3 linked regions of the Oryzias latipes genome follow. The protein of the gene in region 3 purifies or fractionates together with the protein of the main gene of each other region. This does not show direct contact. Links are inferred from orthologs where the notes say so. Each region holds a gene or a part of one and is shown on either strand. Other genes may lie near its edges.

Region 1 (4,086 bases), on a different chromosome or scaffold from region 3:
AACGAAGTGAGAATTATTTTAAGAGTTTAAATTAAAACAAACAAATTTAAAATATGGGGGTTAAGTGCATTTTTAATACCCCTACCTGTGGTGATATTGTTATCAGTAAACAGCTGAGTTAAGCTTTTCGGAGGCCCATCAGTCTTCCTGCCCCTCCTCATTTCTCCCTTTCACCTGTAACCAGTATTAAGGTAAACAATGTGACAACAAATGTGTACATTTTTTGTGTTAGTATACCTTATGTTCAATAGTTCACAGTACAAAAGGATGTTATGCAAAAGCAAACAGTTGACCCACATTGAAGAAAACTGCAACAAGCCCTTTAAGCCAATGCCAAAATTATTTAAATAACAACAACAACATGATTTGGATGTGAATGCTTAGCATCGGTCAAAGTCTCTCATGCAGGGTCATTTGAGTACATACAATGTAACAGGTGTTAATCTGTGGCATTACACACATGACAAATATGTAAGCGTGTTACCAAGGAAGCATTCAAAACTGGTTCCACTGCAGAACATTCTTCTCATTGAAGCACAAGTTACACAGCAGACAATGTTTAAAGCACCAGTGAAGCTCGTCATATGCCACTGTTATCTGTAAACTGCTTTTACAGAGTCCAAAAGATATCAGTTCAACTCCTTTTATGTGTGTATCGAGCCCCATACCTGATAAAAAGATTTAAGATATAAATTTGCATGTTCAAAATGGAGTTTTTTTCACACCATTCTGTATTTAAACCCCTTGTGTTGTGGGCATTCATTTCAGACACCGGTAGCTGTTCTTTCTTGCTTTGTTCTTTGGAGAAACTGGACTTTTAAGGCAATTTAAAAGACATCGCACATCCAAGTAGCTTCTTCAAGAAGCTATCCCTGTGATAACACGTTTATGACTGAGAATCTCTACAGACACATTTCAGACTCCATGTGTGCTTTTATCCAAGTGCACACACGGCTCTGGAAGAAAAAGCATTTACAAAATAGAAACAAGAAACAAGCTTCAGGACGAAGCCAGGTCTCTACATTCCATCATTTTATCACTCTTTTTATCATGGTGTGTCTGTGTGTGTGGGTGGGTGGTGGGGGGTTCGTCACTGTTTGTCTTGTCATCTTGTTTTTTAAATTTTATTGTATTTTATGCACAGCACTTTGAGTGACATGTGTTGTTGTAAAAGTGCTATATAAATAAAGGCTGATTTGATTTGATTGAAGTCTTTTTCAAAGTTGGCGATCTGAACTCAACACTGACTTTTTTTTTATCATCCACTCTAACAAAGAGTGCAGACAGTAAATCAGCAACTTCTACATAAAGCATTACAAATCTGTTTGTAAACTCAAAACAGAAGAAAATCCAGAAGTAATTGTGCAATTAGAGAGAAAAAGGTACTGGTATGTATTTCTAAACTATCTGTAGATTAAGGAAGTTTCCCCAAGAAGGAAGGTATTCTAATAGTTGATTAGCATGGCTCATGAGAAATGTTCAAAACACTTCCATAGTTTGGAAATTACCTTAGTAGACTCGTAAGAGAAAACATACCATCAGTTTCCTATTATGGTAAATGTCAAACATTTGATTTAGTAAATATTGCATTTACAAGCAAAAATAGTCTAAAAGAAAACAAAACAACCACGTTAAGATTATGAAAGTTTAAAGTATTTAAAAACAAGGTTTTGATGCCGATTAGTGGACAAAAGCACTTCACTGTATTTGAACTGTGAGCGATTTTAAACCAAAAACGTGTAGATCTTTTCTTCGCTACTGTTGTAAGTTGCTATCACGCAGCATCCTAGGCTCACTGCTGCCACCTATGGACAAATTATGTAATTGCTATATAAAAAACTGTATTTTGGATTTACTTTACCATTAAATATTTAAATAAATCATGTAAAGTGTTTCAAGTACCGACATACACCTCGTAATAAAAGTAATTATATTCAGTTTGTTCAATTATACATTATATTTCATGTAACACAAACATCTCGAAACACTTTACCTTTCGATAAGCACCAAAATCTGAATGGCATAACAACTGAATTATCGTTCAAAAAAAGCTGATGATATGTGTTAAACTAAAGCACACCCCCACAGCGTAAAGACAGATTATAAAGATACAAATCGTATGGCAGTATCAAAAATGTTCGGGAAGAACCGGGGGGGAAAAAAGCTAAAGTTGTCACCGAAATGCCGGCTTAACACTTAAATCAACTGTCACTGAGTGGGGGGAAAGTGTTAAATATTTAGGTTTTATTAGACATTTTGTCTTCAAACCAAGACCAACAGTATGTTCTATCAAATCGTTAAATAAAAAATATAAATAAAAACAGCTGACTTCAATGTTAAATATTTCAGAAATGTCTCCGGTCCGGGGATTAGTCGTAGCCGCCAACTCCTCAAAGTTCATGCTTACGTTAGCTGACAGGACAATCATACATTTTGCTAAGCAAGAAAGAAATACCTACCTTAGGGCAACGATGTCGTGTGTCTAGAAGTCCAGTTTGTCGCCGATGTCCTCATGTTAAGAACTTCTTTGCACTTCCTCAGTTTCGCCGTTATCTGTTTGCTAACGTTAGCATTAGCCAGCTGACATTAGCAATAAAGCTTACCAACAGCTGTGCCAAATAAACTACAAGTTTCTCCAAATGAGAAATTTAGAAATACTCTGGCGCTTTCAGTGCTAAAAGATGCCGAATTTGAGAGGCATATGTATTTCAAAGAGTCACCCAGAGCTGCCTTTGAAGTCTCCCTCCCCGGGTTACTATGTTGATGTTTCCCAACAGCACAACTGTAGTATCTAGGACAGGAACATCACTGAGCCCAAAGTATCGCGAGAGTTGGACCGGATCGAGAACCACACTTCCGCATACATGTCCGAAACGATGTAGGCACAACAGCGCAGCAAACCCAATAACCCACCGTTAAAATACACTTTTAAATATTTTCAGCGTGATTACTGGTTCGTATCATATTACAAAATAGTATTATTTTCCCACATGATAGAAATAATAATAATTAGTATCATTATATTTTGTTGTTGAGAGTCTTTCTTTAATTTTCACCGTTTTCATGTTGGTAATAAATAAATTAATAATAATAAAGCAGATCAATAACAATCTAAATAAAGGGTCATACTTTTTCAATACAAACTATGTTATTCCAGGTAGACCATGGTGATATTTAATTAATATTAAAGAAAACCCTAAATTATTAGTTTGGAGAAGAGATTTAAACTATGAAATATGATACTAAAGTAACAGTTTTTACTCCAACAAGAGGATATGTTTTGCAAAGTTTTCCAATGCATTGTGAGTTTGGGTGGATAATACAATAACATGGTCCCAAGTTATCTCTTTTTTATTTTCTTATTTAATGTAGGACCAAAGATATACCCTTTGTAAAAATTAATCTATGCAGTTGTTCAACAAGTATAATTTGTCTATAGATACTAAGAGTGAGAAGGTATACTTGAAGTTTACTTTTCATTTATGATGTAAACTTCAAATGTTCCAATTTAGTCTGAATAAGTATTCAGTTAGTATTCTTCTTATACTACACATGCATTGTCCATAGTAGTTTTACTATTATTAATTATTCTTAATCTATTTATTATTTTGTCTCCTGTATTTTTCAAATTGCCTTGTGCTGTTTTTTTGATTGTTTTTATTTCTTTTTTTTACTCACCGTTGTCCTGTGCATTGCTGCTTTTGAAACCACCCACAATTTAAATCCTGCTGGCATTTACAGTAAATTCTATTCAATTGATTCAATTCTATTCTATACTATTCTACTGTTCTAAAAATTGATTTTAAATGTACTACATTTTGCTAAGTGTTTCCATGTATTACTGTATGTGTTTATGATATGAAACTATGGTGAAAAGGGTTGGAAAAAGCGCTCATAGAAAATTATGTTCGGATTATTATGTTAACTTTATGAAAATTCACACATAATTACTTTAATTGATGACTATGAGGCATGAACTTAAAAACAAGGTTGTCCTAGTTTTTGTTTTCTGCCACCTTGTGGTTTGAAGAGGTATTACACCAGAATTAACTTCAAACCTGCTTTTAGCGTTCAATGGATGTGAAA
Region 2 (2,839 bases), on a different chromosome or scaffold from region 3:
GTCATTTATGGATAAAACAAAACAGGTGGCGTCTCACCCAGCATCTTTAAGGAGATCCAGGAAAGCATGGAACTTAGTGAACGAGTTCTCAATGCTTTGAAGGACCGCCTCATCTTCAAAAGCGCTGAAAGCAGACGGTGCTGATGCTGAGCGAGCGGCTGTAAGGGCTTCTGTCAGGGAGCGGTTGGCATCACGAAGGCGAGCACTCTCCAACTCAAACTGTCCGGAAAGAAGAGGACAGTGTAGCAAGGGGAGCATTATCACCTCAATACGTCTGACTTACTGTACATTTTTGAGTTTCTTTTTTGTTATAACTAATGAAGAAGCAGAAATACAAAAAATGACCTCCAATAGTCTTGACTCAGCCTTCAGCCTGGCCCTGCGTTCCTCTGCCAGCCTGAGACGATACTCTTTCAGCTCCATCTAGGGGATGGACACCATACCACAATCAGCTGAAGACTAAAAAGCCAACAATTTACCCCCAAAATCCTGTTTTTGAGATAAAACTAAAGGTTTCAACAGGGATCAGCTGACTGAGGAAGTGGAGTGTCCCCAATGAACTCTGACCCTTAATCCCTAACTCTCCCCAATCACCCCGTGTCTCTAAAGCACAGACACAAATGCACGCACATTTCAAGAATAAATGTTTATATTCTGCATTTATTAAGCCTTAGTCATATATATTTCAATATTTACACATACTTCTAATAAAACCCAAACTCTACTTAGCTTTTAAATAAACCTGCTCAGTGTTTATAGTAAATAATTTACCACATTCAAATTACAAAGTATAATCTGAACTAAACATTTTCACACTGTAAATATCTGCACTTTCCACCTTTATTCATCTGTCAAACAATAATTACTCTTACTTCCATCTAATATAACAGGAGTATCAAATCATTTTTGGAGCAACAGTATGTAAGTGTGATTGGACCAACCTGGAGGCGCTCAAACTGTCGTTCAGTGTTTCTGTCCCGGAAATAAAAAGATGTTCTCTGATCCGGTTCCGCCGCCACTTCCTCCTGTTCATCATCATTGCCCTCTTCTTCTGAATCGGCCTCCACCGTGATTTTTACAGTAGCTGCAGCCTAATGAAACATTAAAACAGCATAATAAACACCAGGACTCGCAGCCTCTTGAATGCTTAATATTTCATTGTTTTGGAAAATGTTTTGACATTTTTCTGTTCCCTTTTATGTAAAGAAAAGAAAAATACCTGAAAACTGTGGTCTGTTACTGTTACTCCAGGAGGCAGACCTCTGAAAAAAAGGCATTACCCATCTTGAAGCCTTCACATGACTAATGCATCCAAACGGTGCTTTAAATAAGTAAACTTTCATTTAATTGTTCTGGTTGGTTCACTTGAGAGTTTGACATCTCACCTCTGACGCCCGGCTCGGGCAGCAGCCCGCCATGGGATAGAGCAGGAGCGGGAATTCTTGATTCTTGTCCTAGATTCACCCGAACATCGACCTCCGGGAGATGTGCCTTTAGCAGTGACTGGAGCAGGAAAGAAAAGAAAGCAAGAGTTTTTGTAGCTGTAAATACAGAGATAAGATACTTTAAATAGACAAAAACATGAAGTTCCCTTCAGAGGGTGGACAGATTTTGGCACACAGATTGTTGACAATTATAAAAAAAACAAAACAACTTTATAAATAAACTTTTAAAGAAAAAAACTATTAAAAAAATAAGCAACCCTGTTTTTCTTTATATTTGTACCAGTGAGCAATAAAAAGATAAGAACAACTTCAAGTTAGCTGATATTTAATCCTTTAAAAAGTCTTTAATTTTTTTAAAATAAATCTAAAGCCTAATTTTGTCTTGACTTCTGCAAAAACTTTCTTCATTCCATAGCAGTTCATCTGAATTCTATGAATTTTTTTAGCTACATTAGTCAGAAAAGATCATACAGTAAACATATTCTCTTCTCGTCTTTAAGTTCTCAGGAGATGACAAAAGACATTACACAGACAAGTTGATGTAAGGAACCGTTTGCAGAACAAACTGTTCAATCACAGGAATTGGAAATAGCAAAACCTTTGATTTACCTGACAAAAATAAACGCCACTTTGTAATTAAAAATGAAACTTTGACTCGCCCACATAAACAGAATATAACGCAGATCATGACAAATGGATCTGCTCTCGTGTTTGACTTAACAGTCAACTAAAATGGGTCCATGAAATTAAACAAACAGCTGTTTGAGACTTCCTCCCTCAAACTTAAGTGGGCCTGTTAGAGGTTCTATCTCCTTTGCAGTTGTCTCCTATTGTGGTAACCACACCCCTAACCTTTTGACTCCTCTGAAGCCTCAAACCAATCCCTCTTTCGCTCTGGACAGACTGCAGGAGGATTCAAAAGGAGGGAATGTTTATACCTTTTTTAAACAAAGTTTTTTCTCTGACTGAGTGAAGTTTGCTTAGTGAAGAAACTCTCTGCGATTCTGTAGCAGCCGGCTTGATCCAGTGGTACTGCAACAAAATAAAATATTAAAAGCTATGGCTTAAGTCTATATATAAAATAACATATGGATGCATTTTAAAAAATACATTACTTCCAGAAACTAACCTCCAGTGGTTGCCCGTCTGCATTCATTTCTACTTTCTCTATCACCGTTTTCATCAAAGCTTTATCTGTGGAGAAATGATGCCTTAAAACATCCCCAAAATCCTAATTTTTACAGAGTAATTATGCAATCATAAAAATAATTGATCACATCTTGAGGCTTTTATAAATGAGTAGTTAAATGCAAACTAACAGCGTATGTAAGCGGTGATGTGGAAAACAAAGAACAGAATAGTCTTACCAACTAAAGGGTTACTGCGGATATCCA
Region 3 (4,358 bases):
CTCATCCACAGACAAAAAATGTACCAATAGTTTCATTGGACAAACTCTCACAGAAAATCTCTTGCTAGGCAAAATTAACAGGAATGACCTACTTTAGAAATGTAATATAACTTCAGTAGAGAATTGAGAACATTATATCTTTAACTTTCAATCCAACCTAAAACTAAAGAGACACACTTCATGAATGACATTTATCCATGTCAAGACACATGAAAGAAAGGTTTCCTTTCCTCCTAGTTTACCAAACATCACTATCAATAATTTACATTTATGTCAGAGATAAAGCACGACGACAAAATGGTCAAAGATGAAAGTATTTCCTCTGCTTTGAAAACAATATGGTTCTACTTCAAGGAATTTTCATTTATATTTTTTATTAGAACTTCAAAAGATCACATAAATTTTCACATGGATAGAACAGAAAGAAATACAAATGTAGACAATAATAAAATACAACATAATAAAATAAAATTAGAATTGAGCCTAGTACAAATGTCATAATATAATATTAAATTATGGATTGTTATACAGCATGTTATCTATCATGAAAATGGATAGTTTTCTTGCATTTTTGTTTATCATAAATGTCAGTGATTGAAAATATAATATCTCTTTATGAAATGTATTAAATAATAGTTTTATTGCTAAGAATCTGCTTTTATTAATGAAAAAATTACCAGATATTAATAGTGTTTTAAATGCCAAATTAAATAATTTATCACCAGAATTTACTCCAAATAATACGATGTGTTTTTGTAGCTGAATAAGAATAGGAAAAGGAGACTTTGAACAGCACCAACAAAAAAACTCCCCAAAACTGTTATAACATAACATATACAGTATACATTCAAAAACAGATGATCAAGTGTTTCTATATTGATCTCATAAAAATAACAGTTATTTTCTGGAAAACCAAAGCGTAGTTCATGGTTATTAAATGGATTTCTTTGTATTTTGCAAAAATCTGATATTTAATAAATTTAGATCTAAACTTGCACATTTCCTCTTATGTGAAATGATGAAACAGTTCTCTAACAAAGACTGTTTAATGAGTTTGAAAGTTTTGAATAAAGCGATTGACCATCAAACAACAGAGATGGAAGCTGAACTTGAACATCATGAACCAGACTGGAGGACATTTGGACCAAAGTCTGAGGGATTGCTTTGATCACATTGTTATATTGTTTTTCTATAATTTAATTTAAACTTACAGGAAACACTTTTAAATTAAATAATGTTTCCATTATAATTCATGATGTGTGATAATGACCAAATACCGTTATCAATCCAATTTTTGTAAAATATTGATTTGTTATCCCATAAAATCTACCAACAGTTACATATGGGAGAGTTGTGTTTAAATATGAGTTTCCTGATGATAAGTACAAGTTTAACAGAAAGATTTCTGTAGTCAAAAATCACATTTTAGCATGAACTCATTACCCCCTAAATGAGAGATCAACTTGACGGTGTCTGGAGGCTCCAGCTCCTCCAGGGCGACAGGGGGCGCTCTTAGTTTAACGCAGAAGGAGAAGAAGAAGAAAAGGAGGAAGAAGAGACACACACACACACCTGCGGTTTTCTGTTAGCATAGCTTCAGGTGAACATGTCTGCTGCGGAAGATGACACGGAATTGCGGGACCTGGTGATCCAGAACTTGGAGAATAGTGGAGTCCTGAACAAGATGAAGGTGCGCGGATCAAATCCAAACAGAACGGTTGTCTGGTTCGTCAGCGCTCTCTGCCGGGCTGAACGTTACGTTGGCTTTATGCACAAATCCTAATTTACGCATGCACAAAGCAAGAAGAATATGCATACACACAAATCCTAATTTACGCACAAATCAAGAATTACGCACGCACAAATCCGACTGAGTCTAATTTCTCTCCATACAAGGCCATCTAGTGCCCTGAAATTTAAAAGCAGTTTGGACACCATGATGCTCGCTATGTTAATATAAAAGATTTTCATAATCATTTACTGTTAAACCTGAAGGTCACTTTACTTCTGCTTGAATTTTACTTTTGCTATTTATTAAGTCTTTTTTTGCTGCTGCAGACAAAATAATTTCCCCATCGTGGGATAAAGTCTTAACTTATCTAATTACTTCTTCTTCTTTTTTTTTCAAACAGCGAAGTAAAAATCTCATTGATAGGAGTGTTTTGCGACGATCATTTATGAATCCACTGAGTTCTGAAAATGAAAACGTTGATGGTTTATTAAAAAAATACATTTAAATGCAATTTTTTCGCAAAAATTGTTCAAGCGCAATGTATTGTGGTCTTTATTTGCCAATCTAGTGAGCATCGAATGGACACTGGTTTTGTTCAGAGATTTCTGGGAAATTTCTTAGGCACTTGATTTTGGAATAGTAGATTTGGACAGCACATCAGAATGGTGAACACACTATATAGTGCGTATTGAAGGAATTTGGACAAAGCCTAAAATTCCAAAATCCACTGCTCTGGAAATTTCCCACAAATTTCTGCAAAGAACTAGTGTTCATCTATGTTAACAAGGATGGCAAAAATAGACCACTGTCAGGAGTCTTCCTGGATGCTGCACACCTGACTCTTATTCATTCAATCAACCACAGCAAACTTAAGCTCCGCACTGAGTGAAGCTCAGTGCAAAGTATAGTTCCTGCCTTCATTACTGTGCGTTATATCTGGACTTGATCTTATGTCTTCTGACCCTGACTCTGTTTGCCTGCCGCCTGCCCCGACCCTCGCCTAGATTTTGACCACCCTGTCTCTCCACTGATGATCTTATGCCTGTTATCAACTCCTGCCTGCTTGACCCTGATTTAGCTTTGTGGACTTTTAGCTGAGCTAATAAAGCTGCTGCACTTGGATCCAGCCGTCGGCCTGTTCTTGTCACAGACCACAATGCGTTGTGTTTGCACAGTTTGTCATTTGAAAAAGGTTATGTAAATTTAACGTATGGATTCATACGTTGTCTTTGTTAAATATTCAAATCTATTAGGTTTTTACTTCTGCAAACTGATGTTATAGGTGTTGTTTTAAAAAAGAAAAAAGTGACTCTGAATTGCATCAAAATCTAGATACTGGATGGTCCTGCACTTTGTAATCATTTAGGGTTAGGGAGAAGTGAGAGAATGCAGACATAGTCCATGCCTGCTGGAAAAATGTTCTTTGGACAGATGAGACTAAGTGATGAAGAGAAGACCTGCTCAGCTTCAACCAAGTACAGCATTCAAAGAAAAGATCCTTATAACAACTGTGCAGCACAGAGGTGGAAGTGTCATAGTTTTGGGATGCTTTGCTACTGCAGGACCTGGCCACCTCACCATCAAAAAATCTGTCATAAATGTTACCGTGTGTCAGGTTAAAAATTAAATGGATGGATAGATAGATACTGAATGACTTTATTGCCCCTCCTCCTTCTGCTGTACTGACTTTGTTTCAAACATTTGGTTAGAACTGAAGCTGCACTTTGAATTTAAAGAACTGTCAAAAGGAATGTTGATGGATTGGAGATGAAGGGCGGCTCTCATGCTGCTGCTTGTCTTTGCTCCTGCAGGCGGAGATGAGGGCTGCAGTGTTTCTGGCCATGGAGGACCAAGATAGACTGGAGGTGGGCCTTGGTCCTGAGTGGACTCTCCACTCTTGGCTCCTCTCTCACCTGCTTTTCCTTTTCGTCTTCAGAACAAAGTCCCGCTCGTCAATGAAAGCCTAAAGAAGTGTCTGAACAGCAGAGACGGTGAGTTTTGATGCTGTGGGCTCTGAGTGCTGGCTGCTCTAAGCCAACAAGAGGAATGGAATCAGTATGAACTCATCATGAAAAAGTTGGATAGAGCAGGGTCACATAAACCCACTTTGATTATTGTGAAAGGTACAACAGTTTAGGAGGGGGAAAAAAGTTTGTTGTCCTCAGTGCCGTCGTTTAATAATGTCGAGCCTCTGGTAGCCCAAATAATCTGTCATAATCAGAGGAGCACACGATCAAAAACCTGATCTGATTAAAAAAAAACTGGCTAATCATTCATCACACTGAGGCAGAGAGAGAGTAGGTTACTGATGTGAAAGAGGGGCGGGGAATGGCCATGCCTCTCTGCTGCTGCCCGTTGTCTCCTCTCTCCCCCTAGCAGCTACTCACCGGGTCCAGCTCTGGTCTTTAGAGTCAAATCAGGATCATCTTAAAGTGAATGAAAAACCAGATTGAACATTATGGAAAAATATTTAAAGACTCATCCCTCCTCTGGTGTCGGCATAGAGCCGACCAAAAAAACAAGGGTTTTCCATATTTTCCGGTCTTCTGCAAGAAGTATCCTTCAGTATCCTTCATATCAACCCCATGAGGTTTAACATCTCCTACAATGACGTCTGTCCACCAAG

What was found.
Region 1: the proteins of fgfr1op (region 3) and cep350 purify together in Homo sapiens (affinity purification with mass spectrometry; 6 studies listed by BioGRID and IntAct, counting the BioPlex papers as one, with this or other methods). This does not show direct contact. The link is inferred for Oryzias latipes from reciprocal best matches to the Homo sapiens genes CEP43 and CEP350.
Region 2: the proteins of fgfr1op (region 3) and cep78 purify together in Homo sapiens (affinity purification with mass spectrometry; 3 studies listed by BioGRID and IntAct, with this or other methods). This does not show direct contact. The link is inferred for Oryzias latipes from reciprocal best matches to the Homo sapiens genes CEP43 and CEP78.

The regions. Positions count from the first base shown.
Region 1 is NC_019862.2:32,108,953-32,113,038, reverse strand, and holds the start of cep350 (centrosome-associated protein 350), read right to left. Parts: upstream 2,803-4,086; 5' UTR 2,460-2,802; intron 175-2,459; 5' UTR 162-174; coding exon 86-161; intron 1-85. UniProt on the Homo sapiens protein: Plays an essential role in centriole growth by stabilizing a procentriolar seed composed of at least, SASS6 and CPAP. Required for anchoring microtubules to the centrosomes and for the integrity of the microtubule network.
Region 2 is NC_019867.2:7,056,166-7,059,004, reverse strand, and holds part of cep78 (centrosomal protein of 78 kDa), read right to left. Parts: coding exon 2,813-2,839; intron 2,640-2,812; coding exon 2,575-2,639; intron 2,478-2,574; coding exon 2,384-2,477; intron 1,504-2,383; coding exon 1,386-1,503; intron 1,263-1,385; coding exon 1,220-1,262; intron 1,092-1,219; coding exon 942-1,091; intron 424-941; coding exon 346-423; intron 220-345; coding exon 38-219; intron 1-37. UniProt on the Homo sapiens protein: Centriole wall protein that localizes to mature centrioles and regulates centriole and cilia biogenesis. Involved in centrosome duplication: required for efficient PLK4 centrosomal localization and PLK4-induced overduplication of centrioles.
Region 3 is NC_019882.2:22,955,097-22,959,454, forward strand, and holds the start of fgfr1op (FGFR1 oncogene partner), read left to right. Parts: upstream 1-1,536; 5' UTR 1,537-1,606; coding exon 1,607-1,690; intron 1,691-3,543; coding exon 3,544-3,597; intron 3,598-3,668; coding exon 3,669-3,723; intron 3,724-4,358. UniProt on the Homo sapiens protein: Required for anchoring microtubules to the centrosomes. Required for ciliation.